4 linked regions of the Rhinolophus ferrumequinum genome follow. The protein of the gene in region 2 interacts with the protein of the main gene of each other region in a biochemical or structural test. Links are inferred from orthologs where the notes say so. Each region holds a gene or a part of one and is shown on either strand. Other genes may lie near its edges. The genes, in order: FGF8, FGFR1, FGF4 and NCAM1.

Evidence for each region.
Region 1: the proteins of FGFR1 (region 2) and FGF8 interact in a biophysical measurement, tested with the Homo sapiens proteins (2 studies listed by BioGRID and IntAct, with this or other methods). The link is inferred for Rhinolophus ferrumequinum from reciprocal best matches to the Homo sapiens genes FGFR1 and FGF8.
Region 3: the proteins of FGFR1 (region 2) and FGF4 form a complex in vitro, tested with the Homo sapiens proteins (2 studies listed by BioGRID and IntAct, with this or other methods). The link is inferred for Rhinolophus ferrumequinum from reciprocal best matches to the Homo sapiens genes FGFR1 and FGF4.
Region 4: the proteins of FGFR1 (region 2) and NCAM1 form a complex in vitro, tested with the Homo sapiens proteins (2 studies listed by BioGRID and IntAct). The link is inferred for Rhinolophus ferrumequinum from reciprocal best matches to the Homo sapiens genes FGFR1 and NCAM1.

The regions. Positions count from the first base shown.
Region 1 is NC_046299.1:23,075,463-23,083,074, forward strand, and holds the start of FGF8 (fibroblast growth factor 8), read left to right. Parts: upstream 1-4,599; 5' UTR 4,600-4,817; coding exon 4,818-4,849; intron 4,850-4,942; coding exon 4,943-4,979; intron 4,980-5,506; coding exon 5,507-5,593; intron 5,594-5,818; coding exon 5,819-5,999; intron 6,000-7,612. UniProt on the Homo sapiens protein: Plays an important role in the regulation of embryonic development, cell proliferation, cell differentiation and cell migration. Required for normal brain, eye, ear and limb development during embryogenesis.
Region 2 is NC_046287.1:61,188,466-61,195,653, forward strand, and holds the start of FGFR1 (fibroblast growth factor receptor 1), read left to right. Parts: upstream 1-4,172; 5' UTR 4,173-4,311; intron 4,312-4,479; exon of another isoform or gene 4,480-4,619; intron 4,620-7,188. UniProt on the Homo sapiens protein: Tyrosine-protein kinase that acts as a cell-surface receptor for fibroblast growth factors and plays an essential role in the regulation of embryonic development, cell proliferation, differentiation and migration.
Region 3 is NC_046294.1:3,405,481-3,412,260, forward strand, and holds FGF4 (fibroblast growth factor 4), read left to right. Parts: upstream 1-3,972; 5' UTR 3,973-4,281; coding exon 4,282-4,621; intron 4,622-5,246; coding exon 5,247-5,350; intron 5,351-5,885; coding exon 5,886-6,062; 3' UTR 6,063-6,279; downstream 6,280-6,780. UniProt on the Homo sapiens protein: Plays an important role in the regulation of embryonic development, cell proliferation, and cell differentiation. Required for normal limb and cardiac valve development during embryogenesis.
Region 4 is NC_046294.1:82,580,329-82,587,445, reverse strand, and holds the start of NCAM1 (neural cell adhesion molecule 1), read right to left. Parts: upstream 3,006-7,117; 5' UTR 2,718-3,005; coding exon 2,666-2,717; intron 1-2,665.

The sequences.
Region 1 (7,612 bases), on a different chromosome or scaffold from region 2:
GCCTCCTGGGTTAAGGGGTTCCTGCTCCCCGCACACTGCCTGGTCTGGGGGTCTCTGGTGCCTGGAATCATCTGGTTCTGGGACTTGGCTGCTACTATGCCAGGAAGAAAAAGGGATATACCTGGCGTGAGCATGAGTGTGTATGTGACCAACTTCGGGGTCAGCAGTTCAGCAGCTGTGTTGATGGGGGGGCTCAATGCCCCACAAACAAACAAACAAATAATAGGTTACCTCCTGAGACAGCCTGGGGCCAGACATGCTGAGGATGGACAGAGAACAGTGCCTGGTGGGGCCAGGCCCACTCCCTCCCACACTGGCTGCTGGGCAAATGAGTGAGCAAGTGGGAGGGGTCCCTAGATAACCCAAAGGGGCTGGTATTGGGGTAGGTGAGGTAAACTTTAGATAGAATGTCCCCACAACAAGGAAAAGCACTCCCTCTTCAACACACATCCCTAGAGGAGGTTCCCCCTTCCCTGTCGTGAAGAGCAAAGGTCCAGTTTTTAATCCCCTTTTTCCATAAGTTGAGGATAAAGGAAATGATCCCTTTGTGTGTTGCGGTGATCAGGGTCTCAGGTCCCTTTCTACTCTCCAGGAGGACTTTACTGAAGTGCTGCCACCGGGAACCAGGGTGGAGGGGGCAGTCAGGCTTGAGACCATTCATCTCCCGGCAGCACTGGGTCTGCTGGGAAGAGAAGGGGGGCTGGCGCCCTCTGGTGGACGAGGTTGAAACCGCCCGTGGCCGTGCCGCTACCCCACGGCTCGTCTCTAGTGGCTCTAGGCATGCAGGAGCCCACGTGCCCAGCAAGTGGTCGGGGCCGCCGAAGTTCAGGCTGAAGGAGAGGGAATAAGTTACTAAGGCTGACTTCATTAATTCATTCATTCATCATTCACTGGAAGGGCTCCTCTGATAGAGCGCTTCCCTTCCTCCTCTCACCTATGGCCTCCAAAGTCCTCGGTACGTGAGAGGTTGGAGGCGCGCGAGACCCGCTGGGTGCAGCAAAAGTCTTCTCTTGGGGAAAGCTGATCCAGCTACCCCCTGCGCATGGCCCGCCCCAATATTTACCCCCCGCGACGCCACTGATGGCTCATTGTGTGCCTTGATTGTAGTCTTTGTGGGTCTCCCGCGGCCCGGGCTGGCGCCGAGCGCGCTCCTGCCCGCAGTGGGGGCCCAATCCACATCTGCCCCTTCGTCCAGGAGTTTTCCAGCCCCACCGGGCGCCCCACGGACAGAGCTGGGAATTGTTTTTTCTCCCTCCTAGCTCCAGTTTCTCCTCGATCCCCATTTCTGCCCCATCGCGCACAGTAGGAGCGCTGATGTGCGCTGAGGGGTGAAGGTGTACGCCTTTGTGTGCAGACCGTTGGAGGAAAGACGGGCCTGTATTTGAGGGACGAAGAGGGACGACTCCCAGACGAGGGCTCGAAGTGCTTAAGGCTGTCTCGACGATTTGCATTTGAACGGTCGCGAAGAGTGCGCGGCGCTTTGAACGCCGAGAACAGGAGGCGCGAGGTGGATCGAACGGCAGTCCCAGCGGCCTGCGCCGGCTGGTGTGGATTTGAGGGGCCCGGGGTGGGCCAGGGGGTGAGGGATACGTTTGGAAAGAGGCTGAAGTTGTGTGTTTGGGTACCGGCGAGGGCGTGTTTGCGGAGAGGCTGTTTGTGTTGGCGAGGAGCGTGTGTTTGTGTTTGCGGGAGGCGAGTTTGTGTGTGTGTGTGTATGTGTGTGTATTTGTGTTTGCAGAGTGTGGGGGCGGCCGGGAAAGGTGGCCTGGCTGTCACTCAGCGATCAGGTTGACAGGCGCTCCCTCATCAGGGCCAGGGAGCTCTGATTGCAGATTCGAGGAAACAAAATAGCAATTGTAATTACGGGGCTTTGATAAGATAAAGGAAGGAGAGAGCTGGCCAGGAGGCGAGCAAGCGAGCGAGGGAAGGAGAGAGAGGCCTGCTGGGGCCCCAAAGGAATATTTGCATCTGTCACTCACAGGGGTGCCCGGCAGTACCCCCTGGCCTGATGCGGGTGTGTCCCCATCTGCCCCTCTCTATAGACATGGACTTTTGGGGAGATGAGAATAATTCCCCCAAATTATCCAGGATCCAGTTTAGGGGAAATTCTCCAAATGTACTGGAACTTTGGTCCTGTAAAGACAAGGTTTAGGTGTAAGACTGAAACCCTGGCTTCCATGATTTTAGGCCCCAGGAGGCCCATCTCTGGGGAAGAGAGAGGACAGTGGGTTAACATCATTGAAGTTCAGCCCAGGGCCTTCAGAACCTTCTGGGGACTCCAGAACCCAGGTTGAACCCTGGTCTGAGCCAGGTGCTCTGGCTTCTACCACCACTCCAGGGAAGGGCAGGTGCCCAGAGAGACTTTGGACTGTGCACACTAAGGAGGGACCGAATGCCCTGACCCCTGCCTGGGTCCTGCTCCACGCTTTCTGAGACTTTTCAGAGGGCTAGGTCCCTGGTGGGGAGAAGGCCCGTCCCATCCTCTGTTCTCCATCTCTCCACTCATCAAGTGTTAATGCATGCAAATAAACTTTTTCAAGGACCTACTATGTGCAGGCATGAGGTGAAGTTGGTGAGCATCCTGCCTGCTTGTAGCAGTGCAGCTGGGGAGGTAGACACTCAACAGGTAGCCAGCCTGTAGGCCTCTAAGACAGAGAAGTAAAATAAAGGAAAAGGGCTGGTTGGGGCTTTAGGCACTGGAGCCCACCTCACCTGTCTCCCCCTCTAATGGACCCACCTCCCAGTGGCGTTGAAAGGAGATGGTGCAAGCCCAGCCTTTAGCAAATACAGTGCTCAATAAATGGTGGTGCTTATGATTATTATCTGTTGAGGCAAGGGGGTAAAGGCAAGTCTCCCTGGGGGGAGTGGCACATGTGCTGAGGTCTAAATGCTCAGCCACTTTCCCCATCACTCATTCATTGAATACTAACTGCAGAACAACCCTGCCCAGCTCTGTGCCATGAGCTGCATATTCTGAGCTCGTAAGACATGGTCCTTGCCTGGAGGTCTGTGTGGGTAAGAGCCAGCTGAGTGAAAAGACTCTTGAGGGGATAATAGGTAGGCTCAGGAAGTCTACTCTGAGAAAAGATGAGATCTTGGAACAAGTCTTCTAATTCTGTTTTCCCATTTGTACATTGCTCAGTATTAGCCTTACGACTGGAAGTGGGGAGAGGTGGGGCACAGAGAAAGGCGAGGTAGGTAGAACTTGGCTGTGCTGCTGGATGAGGGCCTGTCTGCTGCCTCTGGTCTAATGGCTTCCTGGGACCTTCCATTCCCTTCAGCCCAACGGCCAGAGACATGATTGGGGCGGAGGGGGCAGTGAGGCAGGGGAAGTCCGGTGAAGGCAGAAGCTGGGCCGGGGCATCAGTGGCTCCACCTGCTCCTCAGAAGTACCAGGGCACCTCTGCCCACCCAGGCTGCTCCCAAAGAAGCACTATGGCTCAGGGTTTCCAGCAGCGCCTGGAGGAAAGGAATGAGGGGCTGGGAAAGGCTTAGACAAGTCCCTACCTCCTCCTTTGGCTCTTCCTCCACCCCAGCTGACACAAAGCATCAGTCCTGGTCCAGTACACAGTAGGTGTGTGTGTAAATACCTGTTAAGAGCACAAATAATGGGACTCTAGAGGGAACGACTAGTGGCCTGGGTCCGAGTTTCTTCCCCAGGAAAAGCAGCTGAGAGCAGTTATTTTGCCCCATCTGCCTGTTGCTTTGGGGGGGGCAATAGGGACTGCGCGTCCTTGCCAGCGACCTCGGGGCTCTCTCACAGAGGTGGGTCGTTGTTCCGTTGTTCCTCCCAAGTTTCAGATCAGCGCACGCACGTGTGTGAATGAGTATGGGGGAGTCAGAGGCGGGAGTGATGGTGATAATGGGGGGGGGAATTCAGGGACGGGGTGATGGTGATAATGGGGCGGGAGGAGGAGAAGGCCTTTTTGGAGACTGAGCAAGATAGGAGAAACCCGCAAGGCGGAGTACTCAGCAGAAAGACGGGGAGTCGGGTCCCCGTCGCACATGCACTCACTGCTGGAGAGCCGAGTGTACAGCCGTTCAGTCCAGTGTCAGCGGCCACTTCCCGGGGGCAGGCCCAGCGGGAGCGCACAGTAGGTGGCTCAGAGACCCGCCGTGTAGCCTGAGGCGTGAGTGGACCCGGCCCCACGGTGGAGCCCTGGCACTTTCGGACTCGGGCGCACCACCGGTGGTCCAGCAAGCCCCTGACAAGGGTCTCGGGACTCCATGGAGCAAGCGGCCCGAGGCGCCCCCCATCCCCGCGTGTCCAGACCCTAAGAGCGCGCGAGGGGACCGGGCAGGGATGGGGGAGGCGCCCACCCGGCCGCCCCCGCCCCTCCGGCGGGTCCCCAGACCCCTCCCCTAGCCCAGACCCCCAATCCCAGACCCGCCGGCCGCCCCGCCCCGGCCGCCCCGCCCCCGCCCCGGGCTGCGTCCGGGCCCCAGCTCCCAGCCGGGGGCTGCGGGCTCCGGCCGCCCGCCCCGCGCTCCCCCCTCGCGCCCGGTGCGGCGCCCCCCGCCCCCACCCCTCCCCCTCCCTTCCCACCTACCCACCCACCCTGCCGGCCCGTTACCCTCCGCCTGCTCCGGATCCTGAGCAGCCAGCGGCCACCGGCTCCGGCAGCTGCGTTGAGCGACTCGGCGCGGCGCGGCCAGCTCGACCTTCCACGGGACCCGCGGAGCCGCGTCGGCATCGCCGCTAGGCTCCCGCCCTCGAGCCGTCCTCGCTCGCCGCCGCCCTCGGCTCGTGCGTCCGCGGCCGCTCGCGGGCCGGCGTGATCCCGCCGGGGCTCCCTGCGCTCCCCCGGCCGCGCGCCATGGGCAGCCCCCGCTCGGCCCTGAGCTGCCTGTGAGTACCACCGCCCCGTCCCCGCTGGCTGCGCGCCGCGCCCCTCGCTCACCCCGCGCCCCTCTCTCTCCCGCCCGCTTTTGTCTCCCACAGGCTGTTGCACTTGCTGGTTCTCTGCCTCCAAGCCCAGGTAAGGCGCACTACACGGAGGCGGGGGCCGGGGCCAGCGGGGGACGCGGGTTGGCCAGGTCAGGCAGGGGCGCGAGGACCGACCCTGTGGCCAGCGCGGCAGGGCTGGAAGGAACCTTAGAAATCCAATTCCGAGCTACCCTGAGTTGGAAGCTAAGGAACAGAGAGGTAGTTCCCTGCCCAAGGTCACACAGCCAGTGAGTGGCGAGGCTAGAACCCAAAGTCTGGGAATCCAGTGCTGTCTCCCACGCATCCTAGCCAGGTTGGGATGGATGGAGAATACCATCATGGGCAGCCACACCTGGCCGCCGAGGAAGGGGGCAGTCCTGGCATTCGTTGTCAGAAGTCGGGGTGACTGCCACAGGGACCCTCTCCGCGGCTCTAGGGGGAGGCTTGTGGCGGGTCTGGCCGAAAGATCAGGTGCCTAGGCCTTCAGCGCACTCAACATTTGCTCCGTAAATTTGTCTTTATAAATGTCAGGGGTCAGGCAGCGCTGCCTCCCTACTTAAAAGCGCCCTGCTCTTCTAGGAAGGCCCGGGCGGGGGGCCTACGCTGGGCAGGGAGCTGGCTTCCCTGTTCCGAGCTGGCCGCGAGTCCCAGGGTGTTTCCCAACAGGTGGGTCCAGATCCTTCCCCATCCCGGGGCTCATCCATACTAGGCTGGGTCTGCCCGACTTTCCTGGGTGGGGGTGGTGGCCTGAGCTGGCATGTTGGGGGGACCCCCAGCCCCTGCCAGCTGCCTGGGGCAGTGGAGGGAGGTGCAGGGTGAAGGGGGCCACTCTGGGCCCCTGGGCAGAGTAACATTATAATGGCGTGTTGTGTATTTTTCAATTTCCTAAAGGTAACTGTTCAGTCCTCACCTAATTTTACACAGCATGTGAGGGAGCAGAGCCTGGTGACGGATCAGCTCAGCCGCCGCCTCATCCGGACCTACCAGCTCTACAGCCGCACCAGCGGGAAGCACGTGCAGGTCCTGGCCAACAAGCGCATCAACGCCATGGCAGAAGACGGGGACCCTTTCGGTAAGGCAAGCCGCACTGTGGGTAGGGTAAAGGTAGCTTGTGGGACATGCCCTCTTCCCCTCCCTGGCTTGATGTGACTGGACTCACCAGCCCCATCTGTGTGGGCCAGGGGCCTGCAGCCTCCCCAGCTCAGAAGGCAAGGAGTTAAGTAAGGCAAAAAAGAATTTTGGGGGTCAGCTGGAGAAGAGAGGCCTGGGGAAGGGACCTCAGGGAGTACTTGCCCCACAGGTGCCCCTTCCCTGCCCAGCAGATGAATGAATCCAGGAATTTCCCCTTACACCTCCCCCTTTCATACACCTCTCCCCAGCTGCAGGTGGAAGCAGAGGGTTCAGGGGGAGGAGGCCCAGGTTTAAGGGAAGCTCTTGAAAGAGGATATGTCGCCAGGGCCCACAAAAGCAGAGTGGGAAAGAGAAGGGAGAGAAGTCCCCCCAACTCTCGTAGCTTGGGGGGGGTTGCTGTGAACCTTTAAATACTTTGATCAGAAGGGTCAATTACACATGGGGACTAGGCTTGGAAAGGGGCCCTCCCTGCTCCACTTACCCAGGAACCTACGAGGTCTGTCAGAGCAGGGCTCCCAGCTCCCCTTGGGGTGGTGAGTATAGGGAGCTACTGCGGGGTGGAGAGGCTGGGGACTGATTGATTTCTAAAACATTCAATATTCCTGCCTTGAAACAAGGCCAATTTCTAGAGTCCTGGATGTACCAAGAGAAAAGCAAGCCCTCTGGGCGGCTGGTGTTGTTTTTAGAGAGTGATTATTGTGAGTTTAAAAACCTTTAAATAATGACCAAGTTAAACAAGCATGAAAGGAGAGGGGAAGACTCTATTAAAATGTAATAAAAAGGTGAGGCATTTTAAGAGCTAAGAAGAAAAATGAAGAATGATATAAAACAGAAAAAGAACGAGCCTTTTTTCAGATGTGAGTTTGAAAAGAGTTGCAAGTCTGTAAATGTTAAAAAAGAGGTTCAAGATTGTTCTCTATGAATCTCTGGAGAGACCCCCGCGTCTGGCAGAGCGATTAAAACTCTTCTTACTTTCACCTTTTTTAACATTTCCTGAATACTTTCTCCTCTTCTCGAGCCAGTTTGGGGGATCGAGTATGTCTCGCTGCATTTTTTCTGCGTCGACGTAGCTGACTTCCCTTCAAAGCTGGAGAAGGAGACATAATTTTCCTGGGATAAATCTGTCACTGGGTGGAAGAATAGGTTTGAAAATGTTAAGCTTTCCAAAAGCCCAGTCGAGAAAGCCGCTGTAAACTGTGGCCCGAGCTCCCCAGATCCTTCCAGGAAGGAGAGTGGGGGCTCTTGGCAGTGGGGGTGGGGAGGGCCAGCCCGGTGGCCCAGCTTCCCCGCTGGGCTGGCAGGGCCAGCCTACCGTCCCTTTGTCCCTCCAAACTGGCTGCTAGCTGCCCTTCTCAGCTTCCAAGGAAAGGGAATGAATGCCTGGCTTCTTCTGGGTTTGCTCCATTAGAGCAAATGGTCCAGATCCTTGGGTTTTGGGGAGGGAAGAAGAGGCTAAACGGGCCATGGGGGATCTCGTCTTCAGACACCAGAGGTTTGGTGTCACTTCTCTCCTTACCACGTATAGGAGGCTTCTCAGACATCTTGGTCCCTTCC
Region 2 (7,188 bases):
TAGCACAGTGCCTGACACATGAGTGGAATGTGTCACCCTCCTCCCCAATGCTCAGTGAATGAATGTTGCATTAGGGCCAGACAAGCTTAGCTGCCACTGCTGCCGAGCTCCCTTTCCCACTCCCAGTTGGTAGGACAGAGTGAAATGTTATTTACAAAAACACCAAGCCAAACAAGATCCTCCCTTCCCTGATACGCTGAAACTGTGCTGAGAACAGCCAGGGGTCACCAAATGGCAGCCAGATGGTAACTGACTGCTGCTACTTAACTCCAGGGGCCCTGGGGCAAAAGGCTTGGCTGCCCACCTGTTCCTAGGGACCTGTGAACATCCACTTTGTAAGGGAAAAACCCAGACGGTTCCCTCCTCCTGAATCCCTTCCTGCAACCAGGCCTCAAAAACTGAGCCCCTGCCGGTTCCCACCAGTCTCAGGGACTCCCGAAGCCCGAAGCCAGCCTGAGCAGCTCTATGGCCCAGCCTCGCCCCAGGGTAGATGTCGCTTGCCTCCTGCCACTTCTGTAACAGGCAGGTGTTAACTGTGTAGTACCAACCCAGTGTAGGGGGTGGGAACCGCAGGGCCCTGAAATAGCTAAACTCAGTTGGAGCAGGGGAACACTAGGAGAGGAGGAGCTCCCTTCTCTGTGGAAGAACTCTGAGGACACAAATAGCTGAAGGAAAAGGGAAAAGTTTTTGTGCAGTGTTCCCAAACAAAGAGAACTGATCGGGCTTTGGGGAGAGCTCTGTTTACTCTGTTTCATTCAGCACCGGTCCCCTCCTTCCACAGATCTGGGAGGCAACAGGTTCCCAACTAGTTATCAGGTCCTCCAGCGTGAGGGCCTTTGTCTCCCCCTCAGACGTCTAGCTGGCAGGGCAAGGGGCCTACAAATCCTCCCTGACCCTCCCAGCTCTTTGTTATCTCAGAGGGAAGATTACGTTTCTGTGTGGGGAGGCAAGGTGCCAGGAGGCCTCAGAGCAGGACAGAGGCAGGCAGAGAGCGATTGTCTGACCTCCTTTGCCTGGAGCTGGTCAGGGCCACCCTGGGGATACTCTCTCTCCACTGGCCTAGAGCCTATCCCGAAGTGAAGGGTCTGCATTTCAGAAAGAGGAGGGGGAGGAGCAGCATGGAAGGAGAGCAGACCGGAAGGATAAAAGCAGGGCAGCTCTCAATTATTCAGGAGCCGTGCCTGTGGTCTGTGTGAATGGCCCATACGTTCTCAGGGTTTCTCACCTTTTCCATTCCACTGTCTTTGGGTGTTTCCCTGAGAGCTGGGGGAGGGAGAGCTATCAAGCTGGACACTTGCTTTCATTTCGGTTTCTTGCTAATCTGTAGAGAAATTTGTTCAGCATCGGATCTAGGCTACTTAACATCAAACAGACAAGCATTTAGATCATTCTCTTTCTGTTTAAATCAAGGGCACATTCTTCAGCCTCCTCTTTTGTATTCAAGATACTCCTAAAATGCTTCCAAATCAAAAGAAAAAGGGCTAGATTAAAAACCCCTGGTTTATGGGGTGGCCAGTTAGCTCAGTTGGTTAGAGAGTGGTGCTGATAACATCAACATTGCCAGTTCGATCCCCGCATGGGCCACTGTGAGCTTCGCCCTCCTTAAAAAACAAAAACAAAAACAAAACCCTGGCTTAGAAGAATCTTAGAGAGGAATGGTGATATAATGTCTTTTAGTAATAAAGTAGGAAAATAGTGGTTGGGTATTAACATAAATGCTGGGTTTTCCATAGCTTGTGTGCCCAACTCATATTCCCTTAAATTGTATTTCCTCCTCTGGTCACCATGAAGTCTGCCAACAACAAAAATATATAAAACGCCTCCTGAGTAGTCCTGAGCTAGGTCACATACAGAGATGGAATCTTTGCCCTGATACAGTTTAGGAGCTAGTTAGAGAGAAAGAGTAAAAAAGACAACTAACAAAGTTATGTTAAGTATCATACCAGACGGTCAGTAGGGGTTCCAAGGATCAACATGGCTGGGATTGGCAGGGAAGGCCTCTCCAAGGGAGAGGGGCTTGAGTTTTGCCTTCTTAAAGGCCTGGAATGAGAATTATTTAAAATGAAGAAGGCTGCATGGGTGGGCAGCCTATATGGGAGGATTTAAAAAGAGCCTGATAAGGGGTGGCTGGATGGTTCAGTTGGTTAGAACATGAGCTCTCAACAACACGGGTTCCCGTTCAATTCCTCCATGGGACGATGGGCTATGCCCCTGCAACTAAAGATTGACAAAAACGGTGACTGGACTTGGAGCTGAGCTGTGCCCTCCACAACTAGATTGAAGGACAATGACTTGGAGCTGATGTGCCCTGGAGAAACAACACTGTTCCCCAATAAAATTTATTTTAAAAAAAGAGCCTGATGAGGAACTGAAGGGTGGAAGGGTGGGGAGATAGCTTATAGCCTATAAACAATGGCAGAAGTTCATGTAGTCCACAAATATGTGAGTTCCTGCTTTTTATTTAGTTTTAAATTTATTTACTTTTTCAATAAATATTTACTGAATATTTACTCTTTGGTCAGTCAAATAACATTTACTGAGCTCCTACTATGTGAATGACACTGTGTTGGTGACAGTAAGGGAGTCCCAATCAACTGGGGATAATATGTAAATAAGTCTTGATGTCTTTGCAGATGCATGCCTGGTCCAAAATTAAACAGCCCATAAGTAGGGGACAGAATGAAGGTATCTTTCATACCTAATGTGACATATTTCTCACCCTACCGGTGTTCTCCAATCTGGCACCATGGGATCTGTAGAAAAAATACAAACTCTTTGCTCCTTCCTGGGACGACCTAATTCCTCAAGTCTGAGCAGGTGCAACAATTTGTATTTTTCCAAAGTTCCCCAGAGGACTCATGCCCATTTGGATTAGGGAACCATTAAATTCTACCACTCTGTGGAAGGATCCAAAGGAAAGGGCATTTTAGCCACTTTCCCTCCGGTTCCATAGAGTACTGGAGTGTACTCTGGGTGGTCTCTGATTCATTTTCAAACCAACACCACCCCTCAACTCCCCCCACTCACTCTTTGCTTCAGAAACATTCATGGCAGCCTGGAGACTTCTGGAGGCCAAGAATGGCGCTGTAGAATTGACAGGACCTAGCTTCCCATGGACCACAAAACCTAAACTATGTGGCTGGGGAAAGTGGGATGGAAGGAAAGGATCTGAGGTGGGGACCCTTTTATTCTCATGAATAAAAATAGCTTGCATTATTGAGTATGCCAGGCCCTCGTCTAGTCCATTTAATCCTCAACTCTATAGGGAAAGTACTATTATCCCCCTTTGACAGATGAGAAAACTGAGATGTAGAGCAAGAAAATCACTTCCCTCAGGCATACAGTTAGTCAGACTTCAAAGCTCTCGCCTCCACGTAGAACCTCAGGGCGACAGCGTCTTCTCACCTCACCCCCAATACTGCTCATCTGCCCAGGGCCTGCATTTGGGCGCCCTCCAGGCGATGCTCAGATGGGGGCGGGGGACACGCCCTCAGATGCAGTCCAGGCTGCAAGCGAAGAGCAGCAGAGTGCCAGGTAGCTCAGCCCGCTCCCCGCTTCTCGGGGGCCAAGGCTCAGGAACTACAAGGCCAGCAGGCAGCTGCATGGGGAGGAGGAGGAGGTGGGACTAGCGCGGGGTGGGAGTGGGAGAGGGAGCCCTCGCGCCTCGCCGGCGCACAAGCGCTCGGAGCGCTCCTGCGGGCACTGGTGTGACGGCTAGCAGCGGGCGGCAGCGAGCGGGAGCCGAACTCCGGTCCAGCCGCAGCGCGCGGAGGAGCCCGGGCTGTGCCCGGAGCTGGGCGGCAACGTCCGGACAGGACCGAGACTCTGCTTAGCGCATTGCGGCGACCTCGCCTTCCCCCGCCGCGATCGCTCGCCACAGCTGGAGAAGCAGAGGAGACCGCGGACTTTTCTCCGGTCCGAGGGGCGCTCCGCAGGGCGCGCGGTACCAGGACTGCAGTCGGGCACGCCGCGGCGCCGGGGCCGCCGCAGGGCGATGGAGCCCGGGCTGCGAGAAGCGTGAGGCGCCCGCCGCCGGATCTGGAGAGGGGGGGCCACAGGGTCTGGAGACCCGGGCGGTGGACGGGAGCCCTCCCCCCCGCCCCGCCTCTGGGGCACCAGCTTCGGCTCCATTGTTCCCGCCCGGACTGAAGGCGCCGGGCGCCGAGCGCCCCCGGGAGTCGAGGGCCGGCCGCGGGGCTCTCGCGGCCCCGCCAGGAGCCCGGCGGCGGGGGCCGGAGTCGGGAACGCGGGCGCCTGCCCGCACTAGCCACCGCTGGACTCTCCACAGGCGGAACCGCAGCGCCCAGTGAGGTAAGAGCCGCGGCGCCCCCAGATCCGGGGCGGACTTGGCGTCCCGAGCGGCCCCCGGCGCTGGAGCCTCCTGGCTGCGCGCTTACCCCGCCGCAGCCGGGTCGGGACGGCGCCTCCCTCCGCCGGTTACCCGCCCCCCTCCATCTTCCAACTCCCTCCCCAGCGCTCTGCGCCCCCCTTTTGTCTCCCCTCCCTCCGCTCGCATCGCCTTCTGCGCCCCCTGCCCGCGCTCGTCCCGCCGCTCTCCTGCCGACCAACTTTTCCGCCAACTCGCGCTGGGGAGCTGGCGAGGCGGCGGCGACTCCGTGGTGAGTCCGGGGAGGGACATGGCCGGGGCGAAGGCGGCGGCGGCCCTCGGTGTCCTAATACTGGGGAGGAGGGCGGGAGTGGGCAGCGAGCTGGGGTGTGTGTGTGTGTTGCGTTACACTCCATCTCTTTTTAGTCCACTCGCAGGGATTCACCCCAATTCAGCAGGTAGCTTTGGGTGGAACGCTGAAAATCCGGGGTACTTCTAAGTCTTTTTCCACCTGAGGAAAGTCTGGGGTCGTGTTGAGGGTGGGTTGGGGCATGAAGAGGGAAGGGAGTGGAGGGGTAGGTTAGCTTCTCTCGGAATAGGTTTTAACTCGTATGTCGTCACCAAATGGCTGAATCCGCTTTAGATGAGAGCGAGAAAGGAATTCCCATTTCCAGAGGGGGCTTATCTTCTTAGTTCATCTCCGAAAGGGTTGGAAGTTTGGAGATGGTGAGGGCGCCCAGTGGGTGATGTTAAGGCCCGCGAAGGGGTCGGGGGAGGGGAACGTTCAGTTTCAGTCTTTTTCTAGGAGGTGGGGGAAGGGATGGAGGGTTTTGTCCGGTGCGGTGTACTCGGCAGCGATGCATGTTGCTTCTCTGGCCCAGACCCCTCTGCCTCTCGCCCCCTCCTTCCGTCATGTTTGAGGTTGGGAGAAGAGGGGCTAGAGCACTCATTTGCGGAGAAATTTATTGACGTTGTAGATGGAGTTCATTTAACACGTAGCCTGTGAAGGCAGCCCAGACACCTTTGGTGGTGGTGGTGGTGGTGGTATACGTGTATGTGTGTGGGGAGGGTGAATCCTCCTTCTTTCTGGGCCCAGAAGCTATTAGCCTATTTAAAAATTTCTGCGGTGTCTTTCTCCCCCAACACGTCCCCCACCCCCCATTTTCCACACGTAGCATCCGCATCTGGTTCCGTTTCACCCCACACGGGTACACCGCAGCCACGTTATTAACATCATTCTTCCTCCCTTCCCCCTTCCCCAAATTAAAACTGGACTTCTTCAACTTGTCCTTTCCATCTCCTTAAAATTTCTGACGATTTGGAGATGTGGAGTTGGGATTTGTGGAGAAAAAAGTTACCCTGGATCGCAAGTTATTTAGAATCTCGTGGTGGTGGTGCTTTCTCGATTGTGTGGAAGGTTTTAGGGGGTGGCACTTGTGAACGGTTCATCTGCAGGAGGTGGATTTTTTGGTCAAGGGTCTGACCCAGAACTGGCCCTGACGGAAGTTTCTGGAATCCAAGTATTGCTTCTTCTCCCTTCAGTTGTAGTTGGAGCCCTGGAAAAGTCTGACCCTGTCCAGAGCCAGCCGTCGGGTCTCGGGCAGTCCGGCGGTGGCGTTGCGCGTCCCTGTTCCACCCTCCCAGGAGCCAGCCCCCGGCGCAGCGGCCGGGGACGGGGCGGGGGCGGGGGGCGAGGGCTGTGGCTGCCAGAGGCGCTCCTTGTGCGTTTTTAAGGAGTTAAATGGGCTGCAGCCCCCGGAAACTAAAGTGAGACATTTTACCATTTAAATAACGGCGACAGTTTTGAAAGCGGGGGTTGGATTGTTGAGGGTTTTTTGTATGTGTGTGTGTTGTTTTTTTTTTTTTTGGAATGTCCTTTGAGGTAGGAGAGCACCTTGTGGTCCAAAGTCGCGGGAGGGTGGGGAGAGTTGGTCTCTCTCACCCTCTCCTTTCCAGTCTCTTTCAAATTGAAAACACTTCTCTGGTTTCCTCTTTTGGGCGGTAGTTTTGGAGGCTGTAATGAAATCGCACTTTCTCTAGACATGGTAATTAAGGTGACTGTTTCCTCCGCAGATGTGCCCTGCCCTTTGCACCTCCGGACCAGAGCTTTTTTTGGAATACCATCTAAATTGTAGAACCTTAGCCTTGAGACTGTTTAGCAGAAAGTGGCCATTTTCCCCCGTTGGCCCAGGCTCCCTGAGGCTTGTTGAAAAGCTAAGTAGCAGAGCCTCGTGGGACGTGCCTCGGTCTGGCTAATTACCTCGAAGCCTGGGTCATCTCCTTTCCCTTCAGTGACCGAGGGCAAGAGGGAGAGCCATTGCCGACCGTCTGCCCTGTTGGCCTGCTTCCCTAATGACTTGTTTACATATTTGCCCCACTTGATTGGGAGAAGCTCCAGGGCTGCCGCTGACCTGGGTGGAGCGCCGTGTGTTTGGGGACAGGGAGGCTGCTCCGGCCTGGCTCCAGTTGGGATGGTTGTGTACTGCATCAGTGACGAGCTTCTTGAAATATCTGTTGCCTTACTCTTAGTCATAGCTGAGTGTCAGCTTTTTAATAAGGGCCATCCATCCGGATGGATAGCCACTTGGACATGGGTGCTTTCACGTCCTGCTTTTATCATGCTTGTGGAAATGCCCATCTTGGAGGCATTTTCACAAATGGGATTTGGGCCAGAGTGGGCGCTACTTCCTTTAGTTCTCAAGCAGACAGTCTTGGGTGCTTCTTTATCTTGGCCTTTGGCCATGGAGGATGTTAGAAAGTTCCGTTATGCACCCTTAGAAGAATAGCACGTGAAGCAAAAGCACTGGTAGAAAGAAGGAACCTCTCAGATGCTATTGTCCCATCCCTCCTGAGGGAGAGGA
Region 3 (6,780 bases), on a different chromosome or scaffold from region 2:
ATTCCGCTTCTGGGTATAGACCCAAAAGAACTGAAAGTGGGGCTTTGGAGATACATGTGCACGTCTGTGTCCATAACAGCATAATTCACAACAGCCAAAATGTGGAAGCAACATGAGTGCCCATTGACAGGTGAACAGATAAGCAAAATGTGCACTATGCATACTATGGAATATCACTCAGCCTTAAAAAGGACAGAAATGGTGGCACGTGCTACACCATGGATGGACCTGGAGGACATTATGCTGAGTGAAAGACTCTAGTCCCAAAAGGACAAATAGTGCGTGATTACACTTATATAAGTTTCCTAGAGTAGACAAATTCCTAGAGGCAGAAAGTAGAATGGCGAGTGCCAGGGACTGGGGGAGGAGGTGGGGCGTTATTTAATGGGGACAGTTTCAGTCTGGGAAGATGAGAAAGTTCTGCAGATGGACGGTGGGGATGGTTGCACAGAAATATGAAGGTACTTAATGCCACTGAACCATACACTTAAAGATAGATGGTTAAATGGCAAAAGTTATGTTATGTGTATTTTACCACACACACATAAAAAGCTACAAAACATTGCCCGAATCCTTTCTTTGGGCGTTCTGAAGAAAAAGGTGTAAAAAAAAAAAAACCCCACACAAACTGTTTCTTAGGGTGCTTTGGCTCCGTAAATGCATCTATACCCATGGCGTTACCCTTCTTGACGTTGCAGAAAGACTCTATTGTGAGGGTCTTCTCTCAGAAGACAAGAAAAGGAAGTTAAGGAGAGAAGGCAGTTCAGGCATTTGCAAATTTCCTCATGGGAACCCTGCCCCAGGCTCCCTTCTGTCATTCCGCCCTGAGGACTACAAGTGAAGTTTTATGGAGTACTTTTTTATTATTATTATTACTATTAAGCCAAATAAGTCCTTCACAGCTGGGTTGGTGGTTCTGGGAAGCCCTGTCACTCCTTTATGGGAGAAGAAACTGTACGTGTGAAGATAGGACGTTGTGGCTTTTCTTTGTAGGTTCAGAAAGGTCACAACCAGGAGGGTATGTAGATCCCAGACCGGTCAGCTTCAGTTTGAGCCCTTGTTCTGCCTACGTATAAAAACATGGGTTTGTGTATTTCACAAATGCCATTAGCAAGGCCCTGTCTGCACCACCCCCAAAGGGCTTGCCATCTAAAGGGCTGACCCTGGTCGAGTTAAGGTTGCCATCAACCCCTAAGAGTAATTGCTGTGGTGCCCATTTTATAGATGGAGAAACTGAGCCTGATCAGAGGTGAGATAGCTTCATGGCATGTGGCTGACGGGACAGGGCCTGGATGGGAACCCACTGCAGGAGACCACAGCCCAGGGCTGTCCCGCGGCCTGCAGGCTTCCCCTGTTGCCCAGGTTCTTGGTAAACCGAGCTCTCTGGGGCGCAACAGGGCCTATTTCAAGTATTCAAGAGAGCAGATCTGGAAAAATTAGTCACCTTGGTCCAACTGTTCCTTTCAAATAAAAGGGAAAAAAAAAACACAAAAAAAAACAGTGTGGAGCTTCTGGTGGGGAACTGGCAGCTGGATCCGAGGTGCCTGCAGGCACCTACTGTCGTCCCGGGCAGCGTGAGGGGCTGGCACTGGCACTGCACCTGGCATCGGAGGGGCTGCCCTTAGCCAGGCAGCCAAGTACTCACAGACACCTACTGAGCCTCAGCCTCCCGTGTGTCAGGCACTGCTGAAGGCACGGGGGGATACGGCTGGGAACGAGACAGGCCTGCACTTGCTCCATGGACGGACAGTCTGAAGGGGTGGAGGGTCAGCAAGTATAGGCCGGTGAAGAAGGAGGTTGTCCAGAGGGACGGCTGGGAGGAGGCTGCCTTGGCGGGCGTGGGGCACACGGGCGGTCTCCCCAAGTAGCTGCTAATTGAGGGGAGATCTGCCTGGGGAGAACACTGAGGAAGCGCCTTCCAGCCAGAAGGTCGGAAGGAAGGACAGAAGGGGAGTGTGGCTGGTGTGCAGCCGCCAAGGGGACATAGGTAGAGGAGGGGCCTCGGCGAGGGGTTCAGAAACACTGTGTGCTACCTGTTGCATCCTTCACCTGTAGTCGCTGGATTAACCCTCACTGGGCTTTGCTGGCTGCACTGGACGGTTGAGGAGGCCGAGGTCTGCAGAAGTCAGGACGGGCTCAGGAACCCGTGGTGAGTCGTGGTGAAGTGCGAAATGGATCTCAGGTTAGTGAGACCCAGAATTCCCAGCTCCTAACACCCTTGCCAGCTGTAAGCCCTTCCAAGGAGAGTCACCAAGAGCACCTACTGTGTGCGGGTGGGTGAAGGTTCTGGGAGATAAACCAGCTGCTGAGGTCCTTCACTGAACTTACCAGCAAATAGGAGACACAGGGAGGGGGGTCCCTGTGGGGGTCCTGGGAAGACAGGAGCCACCCTCTGCCAGGAGCTGCGGAAAGCATCAGAGGCTCTAGGTCCCAACTCCCCACGAGAGGTGCCCCCCTAGACCTGGACTGAAGTGGGGCAGCCCACCTTGCATGCTGTTCTGTGAATGGGGAGTCAGGGGCCCAGAGATGGAAAGGATTTGCCAGGGCCACACGGAAACCAATGGGCAAGTTCTAGGTCTCCTGAGTTTGAACCCTGGCCAGAATTGTCTTCTTGGTACCAGATCCGCACATCCATTGGGGGTGGCCCAGCGTCCCAGTGTCCCGGCAGCAGCCGTGAGCCCACAGCCTACAGCCCAGGAAGGCCCTGGCTTGGGTGGGTGCTATTCATGAGGGCTGCAGGCCCAGAGGGGAGCACAAAGCTCATGGAGGAGTCTGGAGACTGGGTTCTGGTCGTGTCAAATCCACTCACTGACCCCTGAGGACCTCCCCCACTCTGGGCCTTAGGACAGAGATCTCAAACCTCCCAAGTCCGCTCCTGGGTTCAGAGGTTGCGTCCAAGAGCACCTCAGGCAGGAACTGGGTGGGAGGTGGGGGACGCTGAAATGGTCACGGGTGTCGGTGGCAGCAGGGGTTGAGGTGGGCTCCAAGGCCCCTGCTGTTGTGGTTGGGCGGGGCCTGCTGGGAGGGCCTGCAAGGCTCCTCAGGGACAGCAGAGAACAGGGATTTTCACACCTAGGTGAGCCAGCACCTAGCTGGGCCTCTGGCCAGTCCCGCCCCCATCAGGCCATAATGGGCACAGTGCCGATGGGGACAGTGTGGGGGAGAGGGGAGTATTCCTAGGGGCCTGGCCTGGGTCCCTGCCACATTGGGAGCTCTGGTTAAAGGACTTGACTGTGCCTGCTGAAGAATCAAAGGGGAGAGGGGCAGTGAACGTCCACTATGGCCCTGTGCCCTATCGCCTGTCCTTGCATGGAGGTGTGTGGTGGGGGGGCGGGGTACAAGCATTTGGGGTGCACCCCCAACTACCTTCCCTTAGCAGCACCCACCCGAGGTCCCCAGCCGAGGTGATGCCTCCACCTGGCTTACAGAACTCCATCTCTGAATCACCTGGAGTGCAGGACGCAGAGCCCAGGGCCTTGCCTCCCTCCAGCCCACCGCCCTGGGTTCTTCCTTCCCGGGCTTGCCCTCGTGTTACTTACTGTCCTGTCCTACCTGTCATTCCCAGGCTGCCCGCATGGCCTAAGAAAAAGAACCAGGTTCCTGAGAGTCCCTGAGAGGCAGGGCGCAAAGACCGGCTGCTCGGAGCTGAGGGTGCCCGGTTAGGGCGGCACCCAGGCTGCTCAAGCAGAGGCGGCGGCGAAGGGGAGAGACAGAGAAGGGACAGGCAGGGACAAAGTGAAAGAGGCAAAACTTTGGCTGAAGGCAGGCGTGGAGGAGACGCAAGGGGCGGGACAAACAGGTCCGTAGGCCGGGCCAAGCCAGGGGTGGGGGCCAGGACCCTCCAGGTGGCACTCGCGGCACTCGTCCCCGGACGCCTCCCCTCCCCCAGTCCTGATTGGCAGGCGGCCTGCGACCAGCCGCGAGCGCCACAGCGCCCCGGGCGCCCAGGCGAACGCGAACGGCCCCCCGCAGGAGTAGGAGGGGGCGCCCGGCTATATATAGCGGCCCGGCCTGGGGCTGGCCCAGCGCGCAAGGAGGCGCGCACCGCTTCGCAGGGTCTCATCCTCGCCGTGCGTCCCTCACGGCTGCCCGCCGCTCCATGCAGCCCCGGTAGCTCCGGGCACCTGGGGGCCCCGTCGCTCGCCTCCCGCTCCACCCTCGGCCACGCACTCCCTGCTCCGGCCCAGGCCGTGTGCTCCCGCGGACCGCCACAGGAGCAGCTCGGCCCCCGGCTGCCCGGGCGCACAGACCGCCTGACGGACGCACGGCCCGAGGGCGGGGATGGCGGGGCCCGGGGCGGCCGCGGCGGCGCTGCTCCCGGCGGTCCTGCTGGCGGTTCTGGCGCCTTGGGTCGGCCGTGGGGGCGCCGCCGCGCCCACCGCACCCAACGGCACGCTGGAGGCCGAGCTGGAGCGCCGCTGGGAGAGCCTGGTGGCGCGATCGCTGGCGCGTCTGCCGGTGGCCGCTCAGCCCAAAGAGGCGGCCGTCCAGAGCGGCGCGGGCGACTACCTGCTGGGCATCAAACGGCTGCGGCGTCTCTACTGCAACGTGGGTATCGGCTTCCACCTTCAGGTGCTCCGCGACGGCCGCATCGGCGGCGTGCACGCGGACACGAGCGACAGTGAGTGGGGCGGGCCAGGCGGGAAGGGCTGGGGGCCCCGGCAGCGGCCGCCCCTGCCAATTCGCCCAAACGCACACGGAGGCCTCGGGCTGACACCTGCTCGCGGGCTCTGGGAACCCGGGCGAACTGGGGTTCCGGTCCCTCTGGCGCGGGGATGCGGGGACGCAAACACTCCTCGCTCTGGGCGGCACCGCAGGGACAGGCTTTGCGCACCCCGGCGGCCGAGCCCCGCCTCCCCGCCTTCGGAAGTTAGGGCTCCGGATGCCGAATTCCAGCGCCTTCGCCCGTAGGCACAGGGCGCGCGGCGCAGCCACTGGCACCCGCGGGGGCCCGGGACTCAAGCCCAGGTTCCGGCCGGACTCGGGGGCCGCCGGGCCAGCTTTGATCCTGCGGTCCGGGACTGGGCGCGGCCGCCGCGGGGTCTGGACCAGAGGAGAGGGAGTCGGCGCCCGCGCACGCTGTGCTCTGGGGTTTCCTTGGGGGTGGCCTGCGCTAGGGAGCTCGGGCCATTTATACCCACTCCAGAAATGGGGGTCCCGAAGGCGCGCAGGCCGAGGAGGGGGCTGGAACGGGAGGCACGGACCCAGGGTCCCCTGCCCCGGAATGACCCGTGCCCCTCCCCCAGGCCTGCTGGAACTCTCGCCGGTGGAGCGGGGCGTGGTGAGCATCTTCGGCGTGGCCAGTCGGTTTTTCGTGGCCATGAGCAACAAGGGCAAGCTGTACGGCTCGGTGAGTGTCACAGGGCCCGGCAGAGCACCCACTGAGGAACGCGGGCAGGATCCTGACCCCTCCAGGCCCACGGCACTGAGGCTGGGGCCCGGGTCACAGGATTGGGGGAGCCCCCTCACCCCCACCCCGTCTCGCCAAATGCCTGTGACAAGGGCCAGCAGCCTACACAAGGGGTGCAGCCCCAAGACAGGAACTACGAGGTTTGTGCCCTCCCTCCTGGGTGCCTCCTAGCCCCTCACAAGGTGCCATCGGGAGCCTTTCTCTGAGCCCCCGGGGCGTGTCCCAGCGGGCAGGACTGCAGCCTGGAAGGTGGACACAGTGGAGCGGAAATTCTCTGGCTGCCAGGTGTTGGGCGGGTGGTTGGAGCACCACCTGCTGTGGGCTGGCCATGTCCCTCTCCTCACCCTAGGAGGGTCTTGGCTCCTGAGCTGTCCGCCCAAGCCGGGCTGGGACACAAAGGGGCCCCTGGCCATGGCTCCCAGCGTCCCTGGGCCAGGAGGAGGTCCGGCCTAACACTGTTCCTCCTTCCTCCCAGCCTTTCTTCACCGACGAGTGCAAGTTCAAGGAAATACTCCTCCCCAACAACTACAACGCCTATGAGTGCTACAGGTACCCCGGCATGTTTATTGCCCTGAGCAAGAACGGGAAGACCAAGAAGGGGAACCGAGTGTCCCCCACCATGAAGGTCACCCACTTCCTCCCCAGGCTGTGACCTCTGGAGCCTTCCCTCAGCCTCCGGCAGCTCTCAGAGGGGAGCGCCCAGGGCCACCTTGGTGCACCTCTATCTATGGACAGTTTGATGCAAGAGTCGGTGTAAGATATTTAAATTAATTATTTAAATATGTATATATTGCCACCAAATTATTTATGGTTCTGTGGGTGTGTTTTGTATTTTTTCTGAAAAAAAGACAAAAAAGTAGAAACAAACTATATATATGTATATATGTGTATATATATATACCCCCTGACTTCTGGTAAAACAGTGGATTTATTCCATTGGAATAAATCCATTGGATTTATTTAACTTGTCAGAAAGTTGTCACAAGTGTGCTGCTACTCTGTGTTTTAAAAGCCAGTGACTTCTGCCTGCTTTGCACCACCGACCCATACGTTTGTCAGGGAGCTCCCCTGTGCCGGGAAAGGCCCTCTTGGGGCTTTGGCAGCCGCTAAGGCAGCTCCCAGGCGAGTCCTCTCCTCGCACCCTCCAGCGCCCCACTCCCTTTGTGCCCTGTTGCTATTAATTGGGGCATATCGGTTTACTTCGGGTACAGAAAGTGCGCTGTCGAGTCCGCTGCCACTCCGTTTTTAGATCTGCCAAGACTGACCTTTGAACTTTGCTGTAGTCAATCTTCCTCCATCTACCAGATGGGAGAGACCTTTAGACAACTTTAAAAACTCCCGTTTTCCTTTTTTGGATCAGCCACAGCCAC
Region 4 (7,117 bases), on a different chromosome or scaffold from region 2:
CTATAAAACATCCAAAACTGCTGTTAGAAAAGACTCATATTTGCTATATAATTCCACTTTTCGTTTTATTCCTAAAGAGCAGAAGACACCAAAATAAGAGAGGGGCAGCAAATCTAATTCGTTGGGTTTACTAAGGTTGGCACTCCTTATATCTAAATTTTCAAAAGCACCGAGTGGAGAGAGACAAAACTTCCACTGTCCCTAAAGACATATAACATGAAGCCAAAAGTGTGTGTGTGTGTCTGTGTGTGTGTGTGTGTGTGTGTGTGTTATTGTTCTTATTTCGTCCTGACCCTTTGACTGGAATTCTTAATTTTTTTTTTTTTAACTATGGTAGAAACAAGAAGTATTTCTCTTTGGAAAACCTGCTCAACTTCTTTCTTTTGTTAAGCAACCTTGTATGTGTTTCACGTTCTGCCTTCTTTCCATCCTCATAGTACTAGTCCGGAATGAGGACACTTTCCTCCCAGGAACATGGATCAGAATGCCACCCTGGTCTTGGCAGCTGCGAACATCTCAACCTGGGATTCCCTGGACTGGGCGTGTACCTACGCAACTCCCTGGGGATCCAAACACTGAGGGTTACACCCATCCTGTAATGAAAAGGACAGTCCCTAAAGGCTTACCAAAGGCTCCATTGTCACGCCCCAACCTAAAGGGGAGGAGGCCAGAGAAACACACTCCCCCCAACCCCCGACGGGAGGTCGCACAGCGGAGACTCATGGGCACGACGGAAAAGGGTACGTCGCGGGTAGCCACCGGCCAGGTGGCGTGGGGGACCCAGCAACCAATGGACTGGGGTTGGCCTCCTGCTGGGGGCCCCGCAGCCCCAGCCAAGGCCCCGCCTCCATCCCGCCCCGCCCCCAGCTTCGCCCCCTACCCGCGGCCCGCTGGTCAGCGCACGCGCGTCGGTGTGCCCTGCCACTGCGCCCTCCAAGGCGACGCGCTCCGGCCAGGACGACGCGGCTCGAATGTGGGCGCTGGAGGGGGCGGGAGGAATGCTTCAAGTCTGCGTGAAAGAGGCGCGTGTGGAAGAACACCTCCCGTTGACCAACTAGACTCCATTTTATTTCCTCGGAAACCGAGGGACAGGCGGGATACCAGCCGCAGGGCAGGGTTCCTCCCGGCGGGGAGCGAGCGAGACCGTTAGGCTGGAACACCAGGAGAGGGTCCTGGAAGCTCTGGGCCGCCACCCGCCCCGCAATAAAAGCCTCTCGCGGCTTCCCGCCCAGCCAGCCTCACTCTGATTGGTCGCCATGGGAGGGACTGGAGTCGGCTGGAGGCGGCGGCGGAGCGCAGCTCTTGTGCCTCCCGGGGAGGGGGTGTGCTGGGTGCTCCCATGCCCGCCCCGCGCGCTCCCCCAGCCAGGCTCGGCTGTCTAGGGCAGTTCCAGCGGCACCTGGCAGCGGCGATAGCGACACAGCCCCCTCCCCCCGGCTTTCCTTCGGCGCTTCCCAGCACAAGCCCCCCGCCCAGAATGTCCGCCCACCCCACCCAGCTTTCTGCAGCCGGGGCTCCTTTTCCTCCTCCTTCTTGTCCAACAGCGCCAAAGCGCAAATCCTGCAGTGGGGTGGGGGAAGTAGCTGGAGGGGTGGGTGGGCACGCACAAGAATCTTCCAGGGAGGCCGGGATGGAAACACCCAGAATGAAATGAACCTCCCTCCCGTCCGCGAAGGTTCTCTGGGCGGCGGCGCATCCCCCGCCACCCGTGGCAGCATCACTACTGTCTTCCTCCCAGCTCCCTATTGTTCGCACTTTGCAAGGATCAGGAACCTCGCCCAAAGAAAGGAGACTGGGGCGAAGCATTTCGGGTGGCTACCTGCCATTCTCTCACACCGTGCAACAGCGGGCTCTCGGTGCGTGTGAAGGCACACGCGCGCACACACGCGCGCACACACACTAGGCAGCCTGGATCACGCCCTCCTCGCCCTCCGCCCCTCGGCACTTCCTCCTGTCAAAACGCGGCGCCCGACCCTCCCATCCCTCCGAGCTCCGAGAGCAGGCTTTGTAACTAACCAGCAATTTGGCAAATGAAAAACTAACGTCATATCGACGGGTGTGCAACAACGGCCACAGAGCCCTGAGATTCTGCCCATGTCGCCCCATTTTGCAAACCGTTATTCGGCGGGAGGGGGGGCGCGAAGGTGGCGAGCCCCACTTTATTAGACCCAGGGAAATAACGATCCGGGGCGGCTGCCCAGGCCTTATTGTTCACTCTTCCCGGAGCCCGAGCTGACAAGCCCCTACCCAGCGGAATCCGAGCCTGTGCAGCGGCACCACTGAGCCGCGGCAGCCCCCCACCCCGCCGCCCGCCGCCCGCCTTCGGGGAAGGAGCGCTACCCATCAGCCGCACGGCCGCAGCGTCCCAGGGAGTAGGCTGCTCTGCTCTCAGCGCCATGGGCACACAAAGTGGGAAGGGCGGACGCACTAGAGGGGCGTCGGGCGCTCTGAGCGCTGGGAGGCAGCTTCGGTCCAGCGCAGCCCGGGAGGGCGCGGGATTCGGCCGGGCAGCAAAGGCAACGCTCTCCTTACTCAGCTCCACGAAAATGACCACCCTTAGTATTCTACAGAAAACCACCCCAAATAACAGTGTTCCTCGGGGAAGGAGTAGGAGGGAGAAGGCAATTAGCAAATCAGACTGAAAAGAATAATTTTTTAAATGTACCTGCAGTTCCCAGGAAAAACAAAGTCCAGATGAGATCCTTAGTTTGCAGCATTGTAATCTGCTGGCTGGGAGGGATGTTCTTGCCGCGGTAAATTCTGTGCCCCTCCCTTGCAAGCGAGTGTGGACGGCGGCAGAGCAACAGACCTAGGGGCAGACAATTGCCAGGCTGAGTATGATTATTTTTGCAGAATTGTTTCCTGCCAGCGGCTGCCGAGCTGCGTTCACGCGCTGAACGGAGAATGAGTGACAGTCCCAGCCTCAGCACACTCACAACTCAGAGATCCTTGCGCTGGCCCGGGTTCGCTTTGATGGAACTGGGGATGGGAGCGGGGGGCGGGGGTGGGGGTGAGAACCTCACTGTGTCCTTCCACCACGCCGGCCACAAATAGTGCCGAACATCAAGGAGGTAAGGGAGACAGGGGAGGCAGATGCGGCCGCCTGCAAAATGCGGCCTGGAGCTGCCTGCCGGAGGAAGCGGGCTCTTTCACACGCAGTTTTCCAGGCAGAGCTGGGATTTCTTTTTTTTCACACTTCTCCCCCACGCCTCCGCGGTTCCTCCTGCCATCCAGCTTTCCCCTAATTTGGAATCTGGATATTTTAATAACTAGCAAATAATAAAAACAATCATAGGTTTGGTTAGGTTTTCAAAGTTGTTGAATCTCTCCTTTTAGATGCTAAGATCCTTGAATCAAGGAAAAGGCTAAGAATTAATTTTAAGTGCAGGAAATTAGGAATTTGGAGAGGGATAGGGATTGCTGTTGTGGGGTTCTATTTTGGGTTTGTTTGTTTGTTTGTTTGTTTATACTGCCTATGAAGTTTGCTCTCCCACGGAGAGGTAACAGATCTCAAGGGAAAGAGGTGGGAGGCAACTTAAGTTAGAAGAAAAGGCAGATATTTAGAAGGAATTTCCAGAAATAAGGGAAGGAAAATGTTTTCTTGTTTATAAATACTGAAATCTGTGGTCTCTTTATGAAGATCACCAAGCCTTTTATGTAGGTTTTATGGTATAGGCGCGATGCTAAATAACATTTTCTTACAAGGGCACATAACCTCAATTCTTAAAAATATTAATGTAGAATATCATTGAGGTACCAACACAAAGGGTTTCAATTAATCTCACAGCTGTATTTTAAATAGAAGAGGGCGCGGGAGCAGGGTGAAAATAAACATGTTTCAACACCTGAGCAAAGCTTGTTTAAGAAACAAAAGGTGAAGGAGAATCAGGAGCTCCAAGTGTTCCAGAAGCTGGAACAGCCTATTAGCCTAGCACAGTGAAACCCAGAGGAAGGCTGCCCATGTTCCAAGCACCAACGCACCTACATTACCTTATACTCACTTTCTCTCTAAAGGTCAGGCTCTCCCCTGCTGAACCACCTTAAAATCCCACCCTCTGCTGGCAGGCCAGGAAGCCTCCTTTACTGGAGAGGCTGGGATCTTCTCCCCATGTACTAGACCAAGCAGGCCACACCAACATGCTGTGACTGAGGACTTCCTTCCGGGACCCCTGAAAAGTACTTCCTCCTGACAATCAATCTTTCACAAGGTTTACTTTTGTAATATTTATCTCATACCAATGATAAATAATTCATAAATACAGAAAAATAGAAAGTTGGAACAAAATTACCAAATCCTATAGATTCTAGAGATACCCACATATTTTCTCAGTCTTCTGTTTGTGCATGTGATTTTTATAATTGACATAGTGTAGTAACAATTTGAATCCTGTTTATTTTCACTGACATTTCATTATAATAAGCATTTCCCCAGGCTGTTAAAAAGGTTTTAGAAATCCTTTTATAGTTATGTAATATTTCTTCATATCAATGGTAATGGTCCTCCATTGTTGGATATTTAGATTGTTTCCAGAGTTTGATAATATAATTAATGATTTTGGAACATCTTTCAATAAATATTTTTTGAACACCACTGTGTTTAGCCCTGTGCTGGGTACAGTGGGTTATACAGACCTTTTTTTTAATGGCTGCTGTATTTAAGCATTTTTGGCTTCAGTCATGAGCTTTTGCTAACATGTAAAATTATCATATTAAGCTTTACAAACTTATGTAGATAAACGTATTAGGCTCTTTCCTAAAGAAGAGGTTTTGGCAGCAGAGAAAAATGGAGAGAACAGGCTTGAAGGGCAAGGGAAAAAGTGAATGTTTGGATACCCAAAATAAAATGTTTCTAACTTTTCAAGAGTGACAGACCTATCTTCCTCTGCAAACCTCCATCTTTATTGCTCATGTCAGTAGAATTAAAAAATTCCTCCCTATTTTTCTCCCCAATGTCCCTATTTTTAGCTTTTCAGTGTAGGCAGGTATGGAAATCCTATCTCACTTCAGCATGAATGAATTTATTCCCTCTCTCTCTCTCTCTCTCTCTCTCTCTCTCTCTCTCTCTGTATCTCTCTCTCCTGCCCCCCACCCCCAGCCCCTCTGTGCCCTGTGTGGCTGTTGATCTCTGTTGTAATGACTCATTCTAGAATTCTACCCACAGTCATTCCAGTCCGCACTCTGTGCATCTCTCCCATGTTCTTTTAACAGGCTCCATCATTTGTCTCTAATTCATCAGCTCTCCACTTGTCAAGGCCCACATCTGTGAGCTCTGCTTGTCAGTCCCATCTCAAACCTCAACTTTGAAATGGGACACAACACGGTGGCCTTCTCCAGGCCTCTCTCCGCAGAGGAAGTCCCAGGCTATCAGTGCACTACAGGCTATAGATGCACTAATGAGCATCTGCAGTGCGAACACTGACGGAGAGGAAGGAGCCGCTCACAACTGTGTTTCAGAGAGCTTCCTTTGTAGAGCAGAAATTGGCTCTGAAGACAACCACAGCAAGGAGACTAGCAAGGAGGTCATGACAGTATTCTGGGGTGGCAGGTCGTCACTACAGCAGTGGCAATGAGAAAGGAAGCCAACGAGAGCACAGATTTTAGAAATATTTCCAAAGCAAAAACAGCATAACTTCGGAACTTTCTGAAGGTTGGGATCTAAAGCGGAGGAAGAAATCAAAGCTCCTTTCAACTCATTCAACAAATACTTATTAAATTAAGTATCAACTAAGTGCCTGGCACTGCTCTAGACACTGGGAATATAGCAGTAAACAAAATCGAATCTTTGTCTTCATGGGTTTCCATTCTTATGAGGAAGATAGAAAAATATCTAGTATGCAGATGGTGATATGTGCTAAGGAGAGCCCTAGGATAGGGAGTCTGGGGTGAGGTAGGATTAGCACTTCGCTTAGGGATTAGCCAGAGAAGACCTCTCTGATATTGGGGATATCTGACAAAGATCTAGAGAAAATAATGAGTACAGAGCTTCTAATGTGGACAATTGGAAAGCTGCTGGTGACATTGACAGGAAGTTGAAGAGGAAGGACAGACCTGGACACGATGATAAGCGAAGGAGCAACGACATCAACTCTGGATATATTAATTCTGAGATGTTAGAGGGACATCCAAGTGGAGATGTGCAGAAGACAGACAGTCAGATAGAGGGGACCCCAGAGAACATCAATGTTTAAGCTGCAGGCAGAAAGAATTGCCCAAGAAATAGTGAAAATGCAGTCAGAGAAATAGAAAAAGAATTGAAACATTATAATGACCAAATCTAAATGAGAAGAAAGTTTTGAAGTGGTCAAATAAGAGGACAATTTACAAGTTTCCTGGATTTGACTATTGGAAAGTCATTAGTGGTCTATAAGAGGGCAGCTTTCGTCCACTGTTGAGGGGGGAAGACCTCACCACCCCAGGAACAAAAAGGTGGCTTGGCCAAGAAAGAGAAGCAGAGGGTTTAGACCACTCTTTTGAGGAGCAGCATGATAATGACAGAGTAATGTGATAATAACAAGCACAAGGATAATTATAACAAGGAAGACAAGCTTGAGGGGGAAGGAGGCTTGACGGGCTTTTTCTCCTCTTTTAATATGAGGATTAAGTGAGGATTGTACTCTTACTCTATAAAGTAAATTAAATCAGGGCTAAACCCCACTCACCACCCACTTAGGGTCTAACTTAGACTACTTGGAAAATGAACTTAGTCTAAAGTACCCCCACTGTCAGCCCCACTTTTTCCCATTTAGGCTTTCTTTCTTGTTGGTGTTGAAAAGGAGACCCCAGGCCTAATCCCAGAGCTCACAGATCTCCCGGGAAATTTATTTCACTTTTGACCGGGGCAAAATGCATTCTGGGAAACATAGCAGATTAAGATCAAAGCAAGAGACAGTGACCTGGAACTAAGAGAGACTGGGGATACAGAGGCATGCCCAAAGAACTGAGCGTGATCCAGGAACGTGTTAGAGCCAGAAGGTAATATCAAGGCCACAGACCTAAAGAGTGGACTTCTCTAGGGAGCCCTCAGAGCTCCCTCCCAGTCTCTCATATCCCAGATCTGGTTGACACAAGAAATAAATGGTAAGTTCTACTGTGTGGTGGGGATGGGGAGACTGACATG